Linked DNA regions of Daphnia pulex. The protein of the gene in region 1 purifies or fractionates together with the protein of each later gene. This does not show direct contact. Links are inferred from orthologs where the notes say so. Each region holds a gene or a part of one and is shown in the gene's direction. Other genes may lie near its edges. The genes, in order: GTP-binding protein 4-like, mRNA turnover protein 4 homolog and ribosome biogenesis protein NSA2 homolog.

Region 1 (4,209 bases):
TCCCGATCGTGGGGCCGTGAATATTCCTGATGCCCCATCCATAGCATTTCCTACGTTCAACGGTATGTAAGTGTAGTTAATTGGGAGTCCAATTGTGTTAAAACTATAAGATCTCGTAGCGTGGAAATAGACGGGTGCTGATTTGACGCCGTTGTATCCGATCCATTTTTGGAAACCTTTTCCAAATAAAGTAAATCATAATAAAAAATATTAAAAAAATATTGATGATTACAACAAAACATACAGTACGCAGAATAATCAAAATTACCCGCATCGCTTGGGGGTTTAGTGAAATCGCAGTAAACGGATTCCATCGTTGTATTTCCCATAACGGAATAAAATCCGTTCCAGATGTGGCCCATGCTTTTGAGATCTGCACACGAAGATGGCAATCCATTGACAGCCACGGGTGATTGATTATTAATGTTGATCGAAACATCTGAATCTGCCTTCTTTTCTCTCAATAGGACGGATAAAACTTTGTCTTGTTCTTGAACTTTAGTTTTCAATTCGATAACTTGTAGAGCCAATTCGTCTCTACTTTCATTCTAGTGTAAATCAAATTGTATTTAATCTATTGGAGGAAAATAACAAGATGAATCTGTTTAGAAACTTACATTTCGTTCTAATTGGGTCCCCAGTTGCGTCACCTTTTCTTCAAGTTCTCTATTTTTAGACTCTAATAAATCGATTTTCGTTTCGAGTCTCGATTCTAATTCTTTCAATTTGTCTTCTAAGGAATAGGTGGCAGAAGCGGAAGAACAAATCGCGCCGCAACCTAAAATGAATATCAAACTGACACCGACTGAGAAACGAGACATTTTTTACACAAATTTTTAGACTGAGCTATTGCGTTGCACGATTGCGTCGTATTTTATAGGACTCGGTTTCTTATACCTTGTATAAACACTACATCGAGTTTACATTACATTATCTTATTTGAAAAACTCACCCGCTGATTAAAACTGACATTTTAAATTTTGGATCCTGGCTGTAAATTCTGTTGTGCAAATATTTGTTTTGTATTATATACAAGCACGATAAGGAGCGGGGATTCACATGCACTTAAATATCGTGGTTGAGCCCCATCGTGGTATATTTTGTTTCCCGCATAAAAGCTTTTTCTTTCGTTTCTAAATATTCGAGCTGAAATGAAGTAAACGGTAAATACATTTATCCTTATTTTTGTTTTTCTTAATCTTTGAATACATGAATAGTAAGTTTGATGCAAAAGAATAGTAAAAAATTTAAAAAACTCGATTCAAATTCTATGCAGATTATGTTGATAGATGCCGCTAGTGATGCAAAGAGTAAGAGAATAAAAGTCTACCACTAGATGTCCGATTTTCTTGTGTCTTCTTTCTTTTCGTTGCACGTGTGAGCAGTGGGCTGCGCCATTGCTGAATATTTCAGAGAATTTCTCTGAAAAACGTGTAATTTTCAATAGTGCGACACTCTTACCATCAACAAAATGACGTCGCAATACAATTTCAAAAAGATTGTCATCGTTCCGACGGCGAAGGTAAATTAAACGCAGATATTTCATTACTTGTTGGATGGGCCAGCTAACGTTTCGCTAACTTCACAGGATTTTATCGACATCGTCTTGTCGAAAACTCAACGAAAGACGCCAACTGTAGTCCACAAGCAGTACAAGATTTCTCGTATCCGTCAATTCTACATGCGCAAAGTCAAGTTTTCCCAGCAGACCTTTCATGACAAATTGTCCACCATTCTGACCGATTTCCCCAAGCTGGACGATATTCATCCCTTCTATGCTGATTTGATGAATGTTCTCTACGACAAGGATCATTACAAATTAGCTCTTGGTCAGATCAACATTGCCCTGCATTTGATTGACAATGTCTCCAAAGATTATGTCCGTCTTCTCAAGTACGGTGACTCCCTGTACCGCTGCAAGCAGCTCAAGAAGGCAGCCTTGGGTCGCATGGCCACCATCATGAAGAGGCAAGCGCAGAGTCTTCAATATCTGGAGCAGGTCAGGCAGCATCTCTCCCGTCTGCCTTCCATTGACCCAAATACCCGGACACTGCTTATCTGTGGATTCCCCAATGTCGGCAAATCCAGCTTCATCAACAAGATCACTAGGGCAGATGTTGAAGTCCAGCCTTACGCTTTCACGACCAAGTCGCTCTTTGTCGGGCATACTGATCATCGCTACCTGCGTTGGCAGGTGGTGGACACCCCAGGAATTTTGGATCACCCTCTTGAAGATCGTAACACCATTGAAATGCAGGCCATTGCTGCCTTGGCCCATCTGAGAGCTGCTATCCTCTACGTCATGGACATTTCAGAGCAATGTGGTCACACCATCGAACAGCAAGTGGCACTCTTTGAGAGCATCAAGCCTCTCTTTGCCAACAAGCCATTGCTCGTGGTGCTGAACAAGACAGATGTCATCCGTCTGGAGGAGCTGAATCCTGAACAAAAGGCCTTGATTCAAGGTTTCATTAATGACGACATCCCCGTTATGGAAATGTCGACATTCAGCGAAGAAGGAGTGATGAATGTCAAAACGGAAGCCTGCGAACGTTTGCTGTCCCACAGAATCGAGGTGAAGATCAAGAGCAAGAAGGTGGAAGGCATTCTCAACCGACTGCACGTGGCTCTGCCTAAACCTCGCGACGGATGCACACGTCCGGCCTTCGTGCCCGAGAAGGTGATTGAAAAACGTCTGGAGAAGGGACCCAAGATCAAGAAGAAGACGGAACGCGATCTCGAGGTTGAGCTGGAAGATGATTACTCGCTGGATTTGAAAAAGAATTACGACCTTCCGGCCGACTTCAAATACGACGTCATTCCTGAATTCTGGGAAGGCAAGAACATCGCCGACTACATCGACCCTGACATCATGGCCAAGCTGGAGGAGCTGGAGCGCGAGGAAGAGCTGCGGGTTGAATCCGGAGTCTACGAAAAGGAGGAAGAAGAGATGGACGATGAAGAGAAGGAGATCCACCGGTTAGCTGGCAAGATTCGCGAGAAGAAGGCCATCATCGCCATCGAGGGTCGCATCGGTCGCAGCGGAGGTGCCCCCGTGATGCCTCGCGCTGGACGCAAGCGCGAGCGTTCCGTCAGCCGTCTGCGCTCCGAGTTCGAGGAACTCGGCGTCGACATGAGCAACAAGAGTGGCGCTCACTTCTCTCGCACTAAATCGCGCTCGGCCAGCCGTCCGCCCATCAAGAAGGCCCGCGCCGATTCTGCCGGACGCGTCAGCTCGTCGTCTCGCGTCACTCCGCGCGACCAGTCGGGCATCCGCAACGTTGAGCTCAAGGCCAAGGCCAAGAAGATGGGTCACAAAGCTCAGGGCAAGATGAATCAATTCGGTAAGGCTGGTGAAGCCGATCGACACATTGCAGTCAAGATGCCCAGACATCTTTACTCCGGCAAGCGCGGCATTGGTAAAACCGATCGCCGTTAAAAGACAGAGAAATTGTAAGAATTAAAAACAACATCCGAAACGATTACGAAGAAGAGGAATCCAACGAGACTGATGCCCCGGCTCCTGGAGTTTGTTGGAGAGGCCAAGGTTGAATATGACGTCTTATCACATCAAAAGTCCCTGATTGCCTGCTGAGTTCATCAATTCTCAAAAAAAGGTCCTGTGCTTTTTTGTTTTAAATGTGCCACTTCCAGCCCTCTCTCGGTTCATGTGTACTCTTTAATTGTTGTGTTTTTCTTTTCAGCGTGTTTTGTTTATTAATTCGACCGCTGTGGAAAATATTTCAATGAAAGAAAAATAGTACACCGTGTTGGCGTCAGTCTCGATAAAAAGTTTTGAATTTCAATAATTTATTGAGTATTTTACATAAGTTTTTTTTTAAATAACGAAAAGGAAAAACTTGGTGATCCGACGCGCTCTGGGGTCTTGTTTATTTGAAAATGGGCACCAAGCCAAAAAGATTGAAACTTTTGTAAACAACTTGTTGCCTTGGGTTAGAATCGCGCACTCTGTGACGCAAACAAAAGAGAGAGAGAGAGAGACCTGCGTAACCTTCCCTTACATTTTTGCACATATCGCCAAATAAGGGCCAAGTAAACAACAACAACAACATCAAAACAAGTCGAATGGGGTCTCTGACGCTTGGATTTTTTGTTTTGTTTTTGATTTAGTTGTTTGTTTGTCTCACAATTGGGGTGAAAGGCCGGAACTTTTTCTTTCAAGTTGTTGCAGCTTTCTTTTTTTAATCT
Region 2 (3,725 bases), on another chromosome or scaffold:
CTTCTTTACAAAAGAGAAAATGGCTGCACATAAAGACACACCAGTACAGACTTTTGAAGGAAAGGAATGTGGGATGGGTTGGTGCGAGCTGTCGCGTAGGGAGCAAAGATGGCGCCTCTCACTAGCTGCACTAGAGAACATTCTACTCTAGACGCCCTGTTCCTCACCGGCTACAGCTTCACGCTGCCCAACCGAATTTCCATTACATTTATTCGCAAAAAGAACAATCTCACGATTTCTCACTTTAATCCTTGCCGTCCTTGCTTACATTTACCATATTCAAGTTTCTCAAACTTACGTGAGTGGGTGCCGAAGTGTAGCGGAAAATGCCTCGCTGGCTGAGCTTTACCAACTGAGAACTGTCTTTGGCGAATGCAAGTCGTCCTTTCCTTCCCACTAGTTTAAATCGATATGCGATGTAATCGATTCTTTGTTAATCGAGTCTTTATTAATCGATATACGCGCGTCGGCAACACAATCGACGATCGAATTCTTGGATGAAGTCGCCAAGTATGAAAGACTGGACACTGAAATGCTGTCGGAGCTAGCGCCATCTGCGACAACAGGAAAACTTGCAAAGAATTCTCTTAAGATATTTTTAGACTCAAATTGCCCAAGATCTTACCACACAGCTACGGTGAAACAAGTTTCATAACTTTTAAATATTTATATTTGTACGGTACACTTTATACGAATTATACTTTCTATTCGATTAAATATCGGAATAAAGGGGGCGCTGACGGTTGAGTCTCTGAACAGTCTTTTTATCTCCAAAAGAACCTTACTCTGTGCCAGAATAGTAAATGGGAGGGAAAAAAATAGAATGTTCTCGAGCTTCAGTATGTCCCTGTGGCCAAATGAACATTTTCGAAATAAAAACATGGACAATTGATGAAAGATACTTGTTTCCAATGAAACTTTATAGTTTAGATCTAGAAAAACTACCCAATAGTCCCAAACGCTCAGCGATTGAGTGATAATTATTTTGGTTGCTATGTCTTTGCCAGGTCCTTGCTCGCTCATCACTCGTCGCATTGAAGAACAACAAACGAGTCATAAGAATACCGGTCTCAAATACTACTTTTACCTTTGAATAAAAGAAATAAACACATAGGGCTTCGAGCTCAGTTTCTTTGAAATTCAATAAATTTAGGCCTACAGCTGCAAAGATAATGATTAATGAATCATAGATTTCAGATAAGTAAAATGCTTGGAGCGAGAGTCACTTGAGTAATTTGAATGTTGACATGAATGTGAATGTATAATATTAAAATAATCCTACTGTTATCGTACTTAATGTTTCAAATGCAATTTACAGAATAATGTAAAATCTGGGAAAATAAGAAAATATCGTTAATTTTTATACATTTAAAAATAATCGGCAACTTTGTAGTTGTTTGCAGACGACTCACAGTCTCAAAGTCTTTCTTTAGGATAGTAAACGAAACACGTGGTTTTTCCAAACTTGAAGTCGAGACGCTATTTCCGCTAATTTAAACCTAAACAACATTTAAAATGCCTAAAACTAAGCGATTCCAAAAAAGTAAGTTTCTCTGTTTGTTTAACTTTTGTAAAAACTGAATTTAATGTTTTTATTTTTCAGTTTCATTGACACAAACTAAGAAGAAGGGTCTTGGTGGAAAACAGCAATTGGTTGAGGACATTAGATCTTGTGTTGAGAAATATTCTTACTTGTATCTCTTTTCAGTTCAAAATATGAGGAGTAACAAACTGAAATCTATTCGTAATGAGTGGAAAGACAGCAGGTAAACTTGGTTTTATGATGAATCATGAAATGTCAATTATAATTTGCTTGGTCGGATTCAGGTTCTTCCTCGGTAAAAACAGAGTGATTGCTATTGCATTAGGTAGAACTAAAGAGTCTGAAAGCAGAGAGAACCTTCATGAAGTCTCTAAAAGACTTAAAGGGCAGTGTGGAATTGTCTTCACAGATAAACCAAAATCTGAAGTCATCAGGTAACCATATTGTCATTGGATAGTTTAGTTTAATGTTTTCATACACACAAGGAATTAGAAATAAATTGTGGTTATATTCATGTAGATACTTCCAAAAGCATGTAGAATCAGATTATGCCAGGTCTGGTAATGTTGCTACCGAAACTGTCACACTCCAACCCGGTCCTTTAGAGCAGTTCCCTTTCAACATGGAGCCATACCTGAGACAACTAGGTCTCCCCACATCTCTTCAAAGAGGTATTTACACATCACAAATTTAAAATTAAAAAAAATTCCAGATTATCATCTAATGATGTGCATATCTCTTCTGTTTGTTGACAAGGTGTTGTGACATTGCTGAAAGAACACACAGTTTGCAAAGAGGGAAGCATTCTTACTCCTGAAGAAGCCAGACTTTTGGTAAATTATATTTATTTTCTCCTTTGTTTGTGAAAAGTCATGTCTAGAGTGCTTTATGTATAGTAATGCACCCGTCCGTTAATAGTTCTTAAAGACGAAGAGCGTGAGTTCATTAAATTTGATGTAATTTAGTAAGAAATTGTTTTAAGGACCACTCGGATAAATGGAGTAGGGAGAGTGGTCGTTTATTTAATAACCAACCTCGCGTGCGCTTCAAAGCTCTAACAGAAGCACAGCAGCTACATGCAGGGCATATTGCGTCATATAATTAAGATTTCGATTTTTTACGGCGAAGTACCTCATTTATGTTTCTTTTTTTTTTAAATTCTACTTTTAAAGAAACTGCTTTGCAAACACATGGCGGAATTCAGAGTGACCATTGAAGCCGTTTGGGAAAAAGAAGATGGCGCTTTCGAAGATATCGGAAACGGACGTATGTTGGAGAAAGAAGATGACGCAAACGAATCTGCCGACGATGAGAATATGGAATGAATTTTCCCATAACATTTTTTTTTTCTGAATGATAAACTGTATTGGTGTATCAACGAGGGACATAGTCGTTATACAAGTGACTAATGTTTACCTATGGTCATCCCTATGTACATCGTCTTGTCCTTGAATAAGAAAAAGAAACAAGATGCTCTTACATTTCAGACGAATGAAATGTACACGACAAAATTACACGGTTTCATTTCAGTCACTTGTCAATGTTAAGAAACGAAGCTAACGATATTAATTCATATATATATATATGTGTGTGTGTTTATGTAAAGATTGGGTACTGTTGAATAACGGGCAATCGTATTTTGACAGATAATTGAAACATGTAACCCGAAAATATTTACATTTCGATACTCGATTCGAAGGATAAAGAGAACAGGTAAACAGTTGAGGGACACAAGTTACACAATTTTCGCCGTGAGTTGTATAGGAGTCTCCAGTCGAGGGGAGGTCACACACAATCTGGGCGGCCCATTCCAGATCACGGGATCAGAGGGGTGGGATTCTCACAATATTTTTTTTTCTTTCTTTCCATTTTTTTTTATCACGTTCCCTCCTCCACCAAGGAAAAATATACAAACGAAAAAGCAGTGCTATAAACCAGTCCCTTAGTTCCCCACCATCTGCGCGGCTATAGCTACAAACATAAGAGATACACACACGCGAGAGAAAATACAGTGAAAAAAAAAATTATACGTGACGAAAAAACTCCTCATCGATAACTATATGTGTGTGTGGGTTGAAACAACGACATTATAATGTATAAACTTTGGTATGAAAAAGGTGACAACCCCCTTAAATAAGGACAAAAAAAAAGTATGGGCTGGTGGGGACCTCTAGAAAACAAA
Region 3 (3,335 bases), on another chromosome or scaffold:
TAGTCGAATTACCGACACCCACCATTTTTTTTTGTGCCTATCTTAATTTAGTGATATTTAGTGTGCGAGTGTTTAGCTGCTACTCAAGTTGAACCATTACTCTTAACTCCTTCTACAATATATAATGAAATTTTTCAAAAACGATCAGCGTATAAAACAGAACTAATAACATGCGGGTACTACTCACTATATTCACGATACGTAGCCTGATTTGTTATTAATGTATTTATGTGATTTACGCGAGTCTCGTCGCATTCTGAGCGGAAACAAATACAGTCGGTTCAACAAACATCAACACTTAATAAAACTATTGAAAATCGATATTATTCTTTATCGGTTTTGAGTTCGCTGACTCTGGCGTAGGGGAACTCGATGTCACACTTTGGAAGAGCCGAATGCAGGAACTCTATGCAGCCTTCTCTGTTGGTGACTTCCGGCAAATCATAGAGGAGCAAGTGACGCAAGTTGGAGAGACACGACAGTGATTTTATGGCTGAATCACTAATGTCACCACAACTGCTCAACTGAAGTTCTTCAAGTGAACCTTTGACTGCTGCCAGCATTGGCAGGGCTTCGTTGTCCAAGTAGTTGCATTTGTGAAGGGTCAGTTTTTTCAGATGATCGAGTCCTCCTGCAGAGAAATATGTTAGCATGAATTGGAAGATTATGTGCTTTATCTCATACTCAAGTGAGGAAATCCAACTGACATGATACATGATCCTGTGGCATCAATTTCTTCAATCAACAAACTTCGGTAGCCCCCGGGAGGCAAGCTGTTGTAGTCTTTGAGAACAGATTCCTTGTCCTTCCATCTCACACCTGCTCCACAACGAAGAAGCCACTCTGCTGCAGCTCTGTCTGGTCCAACATCCTTGATTCTCGACTCATCCACTCTGTAGAAGCAGATTAATTTTAATAAAAAAATTTATGTAAACTGAAATTAAAATTACTTGTTGGTGATTGTGTTTAACCATCCCCAGATAGTTCGCTTAGACTGAGATTGTAACAGATTCCTCACTGCCAAAAGTTTCACCATTTCTACAATAAATGAAGAGAATGTTACGCTGTTTTATTTTCTTTTATTAACTCTGTCACTTGGTTAACAATTAGATATTAATAATAAAAGAACACAAAACGGGCAGGGTAAACTGAAAATCAAGTCGTTCTTGTCAATTTGTTTAATCTAATTCGTAATTAACCGAAAATATCCTAAATATTTACTTCAACGTTTATGTTACGTTCTTGCTGTTTAATGTTTACAAATTTTGCCGGTATAAAACGCCACCTAGCGGCAAAAACGCTCAAATACAGAAAATGCTTTTCACGTACTTTGAAATAAATTGCAAAGAGTTCGTGAATTTTTTAACCCTATAATGAATTAATTTTCATACTTTGTAATTTTATTAAAAGTACATTGTTGTTTTCTATAATTTTTTTATTAATTATGGTGAATCGTGAATTTTCGATTCGTTAGGAAGTCGCAACGTTGCCGCTATGCTTCTTCTTCTTGAAGCTCTCAGTGTTCTTTCCTTTCAAGTATCGAGCTGCTAGTGGGGAGAGTGCTATTGCAGGTGAGTTCTCTCGAGCTTTTTAATATATTATTTAGATAATCTTGAGTAATTGCTCTTTTTAATGTCTTACTACTATCATGCTAAGTTGAGTAAGCGTGGGCGTTGTTATTTTTAGTTATTTGATAAGTGGAAATGTGTTACTTGCGATTGTCGGCCATCGGCAGCAACGTGGTTGTCTGTCGCCATTTTGACATTTTTTAAGGCTCAGTAGTAGACAGGCGTTTTTTCTAGATTTACATCTTGGTACTTAAAAGATGGTCAGACAACGCACCCTTATACATGCATAGTTCATGTAATTGAAGTCTTACCCCCTGTATTTTCAGGGTAAACTGTTGTCTGACCAGCTTTAGTTCACACACACACAGAGTTCTCCCCAACCACCACCACCATGCCACAGAACGAGCACATTGAGTTGTTCCAGAAGCGCTATGGCTTTCGCATGGATTATCAAGAAAGGCAGCGAAAGAAGAAGGCCAGGGAGCACAAACTGCAATCGAAGATGGCCCAGAAGCTGATTGGTATCAAGGGCAAGATCTTTGCCAAGAAGCGCTACTCTGAAAAGGTGCAACTCAAGAGGACCATCAAGGCACATGAAGAAAAGAAGACTCGCAAGAAGGAAGATGGAAAGGTGCCTGAAGGAGCCATGCCTGCTTACCTCCTGGATCGTGAGAACACATCACAAGCCAAACTGCTGTCTTCTATGGTGAAGCAGAAGCGCAAGGAGAAGGCTGGCAAATGGGATGTTCCTCTACCCAAAGTTCGTGCCCAGTCAGAAGCTGAAGTGTTCCGTGTCTTGAAGACGGGCAAGAGCCGCAGAAAGGGCTGGAAGAGGCTGGTGACCAAAGTTTGCTTCGTCGGAGAAGGTTTCACTCGTAAGCCGCCCAAGTACGAGCGTTTCGTCCGACCCATGGCATTGCGGTTCAAGAAGGCTCACGTCACACATCCGGAATTGAAAGCTACATTTTGTCTCCCGATTGTTGGCGTCAAGAAGAATCCCTCCTCTCCAATGTACACATCTCTGGGTGTCATAACAAAGGGAACCATCATTGAAGTCAATGTTTCTGAACTCGGTCTCGTCACTCAGGGTGGCAAAGTTGTGTGGGGCAAATATGCCCAAGTGACCAATAATCCTGAAAACGACGGATGTATCAACGCCATTTTGCTCGTTTGAACATAATACACACGAATTTTCGTTTAGCTTCGCCGTTTTAGCCTACGTTATCTTAGACTAGTCTTTAAGTTAAATTTGTGTGATTTAAATGTTTTCAAATATAAAATGTTTTAATTTGTTTATTTTTCTTTTGCAGCCGAGTTGTATGTTGTAAAACTCCACGATGCAGATCTTCGTTAAAACCCTCACGGGTAAAACCATTACCCTCGAAGTTGAGCCTTCTGACACTATCGAAAATGTCAAAGCCAAAATCCAGGATAAGGAAGGTATAAAAGCTCACCAAAGTTTCAATTTACATTTCTAATTATTTTGATGAGTTGACGTTCTTAGGACACTTAATATGTACACTGATTATAATAAGCGTTTATTTATCTGAATTTTCTGCATTTAATCATTCCCAGAAATACCTAGTTGGCACTTTTCTCATCATTGTCTCGTTCCTTTCAGGTATTCCTCCTGATCAGCAGAGGTTGATCTTCGCTGGCAAGCAGCTGGAAGATGGTCGCACTTTGTCCGACTACAACATCCAGAAGGAATCCACCTTGCACTTGGTGCTCCGCCTTCGTGGTGGTGCCAAGAAGCGCAAGAAGAAG

Evidence for each region.
Region 2: the proteins of GTP-binding protein 4-like (region 1) and mRNA turnover protein 4 homolog purify together in Homo sapiens (affinity purification with mass spectrometry; 3 studies listed by BioGRID and IntAct, counting the BioPlex papers as one, with this or other methods). This does not show direct contact. The link is inferred for Daphnia pulex from reciprocal best matches to the Homo sapiens genes GTPBP4 and MRTO4.
Region 3: the proteins of GTP-binding protein 4-like (region 1) and ribosome biogenesis protein NSA2 homolog purify together in Homo sapiens (affinity purification with mass spectrometry; 3 studies listed by BioGRID and IntAct, counting the BioPlex papers as one, with this or other methods). This does not show direct contact. The link is inferred for Daphnia pulex from reciprocal best matches to the Homo sapiens genes GTPBP4 and NSA2.

The regions. Positions count from the first base shown.
Region 1 is NC_060026.1:14,945,768-14,949,976, reverse strand, and holds GTP-binding protein 4-like, read left to right. Parts: upstream 1-1,329; 5' UTR 1,330-1,471; coding exon 1,472-1,522; intron 1,523-1,588; coding exon 1,589-3,439; 3' UTR 3,440-3,792; downstream 3,793-4,209. Other genes in the region: uncharacterized protein LOC124204378, read right to left, coding at 1-176, 269-548, 618-821. UniProt on the Homo sapiens protein: Involved in the biogenesis of the 60S ribosomal subunit. Acts as a TP53 repressor, preventing TP53 stabilization and cell cycle arrest.
Region 2 is NC_060019.1:12,247,697-12,251,421, reverse strand, and holds mRNA turnover protein 4 homolog, read left to right. Parts: upstream 1-1,382; 5' UTR 1,383-1,515; coding exon 1,516-1,543; intron 1,544-1,603; coding exon 1,604-1,766; intron 1,767-1,827; coding exon 1,828-1,977; intron 1,978-2,062; coding exon 2,063-2,214; intron 2,215-2,299; coding exon 2,300-2,376; intron 2,377-2,715; coding exon 2,716-2,868; 3' UTR 2,869-3,072; downstream 3,073-3,725. UniProt on the Homo sapiens protein: Component of the ribosome assembly machinery. Nuclear paralog of the ribosomal protein P0, it binds pre-60S subunits at an early stage of assembly in the nucleolus, and is replaced by P0 in cytoplasmic pre-60S subunits and mature 80S ribosomes.
Region 3 is NC_060018.1:12,627,374-12,630,708, forward strand, and holds ribosome biogenesis protein NSA2 homolog, read left to right. Parts: upstream 1-1,474; 5' UTR 1,475-1,571; intron 1,572-1,894; 5' UTR 1,895-1,959; coding exon 1,960-2,742; 3' UTR 2,743-2,768; downstream 2,769-3,335. Other genes in the region: ATP synthase subunit s, mitochondrial-like, read right to left, coding at 324-631, 685-893, 951-1,036. UniProt on the Homo sapiens protein: Involved in the biogenesis of the 60S ribosomal subunit. May play a part in the quality control of pre-60S particles.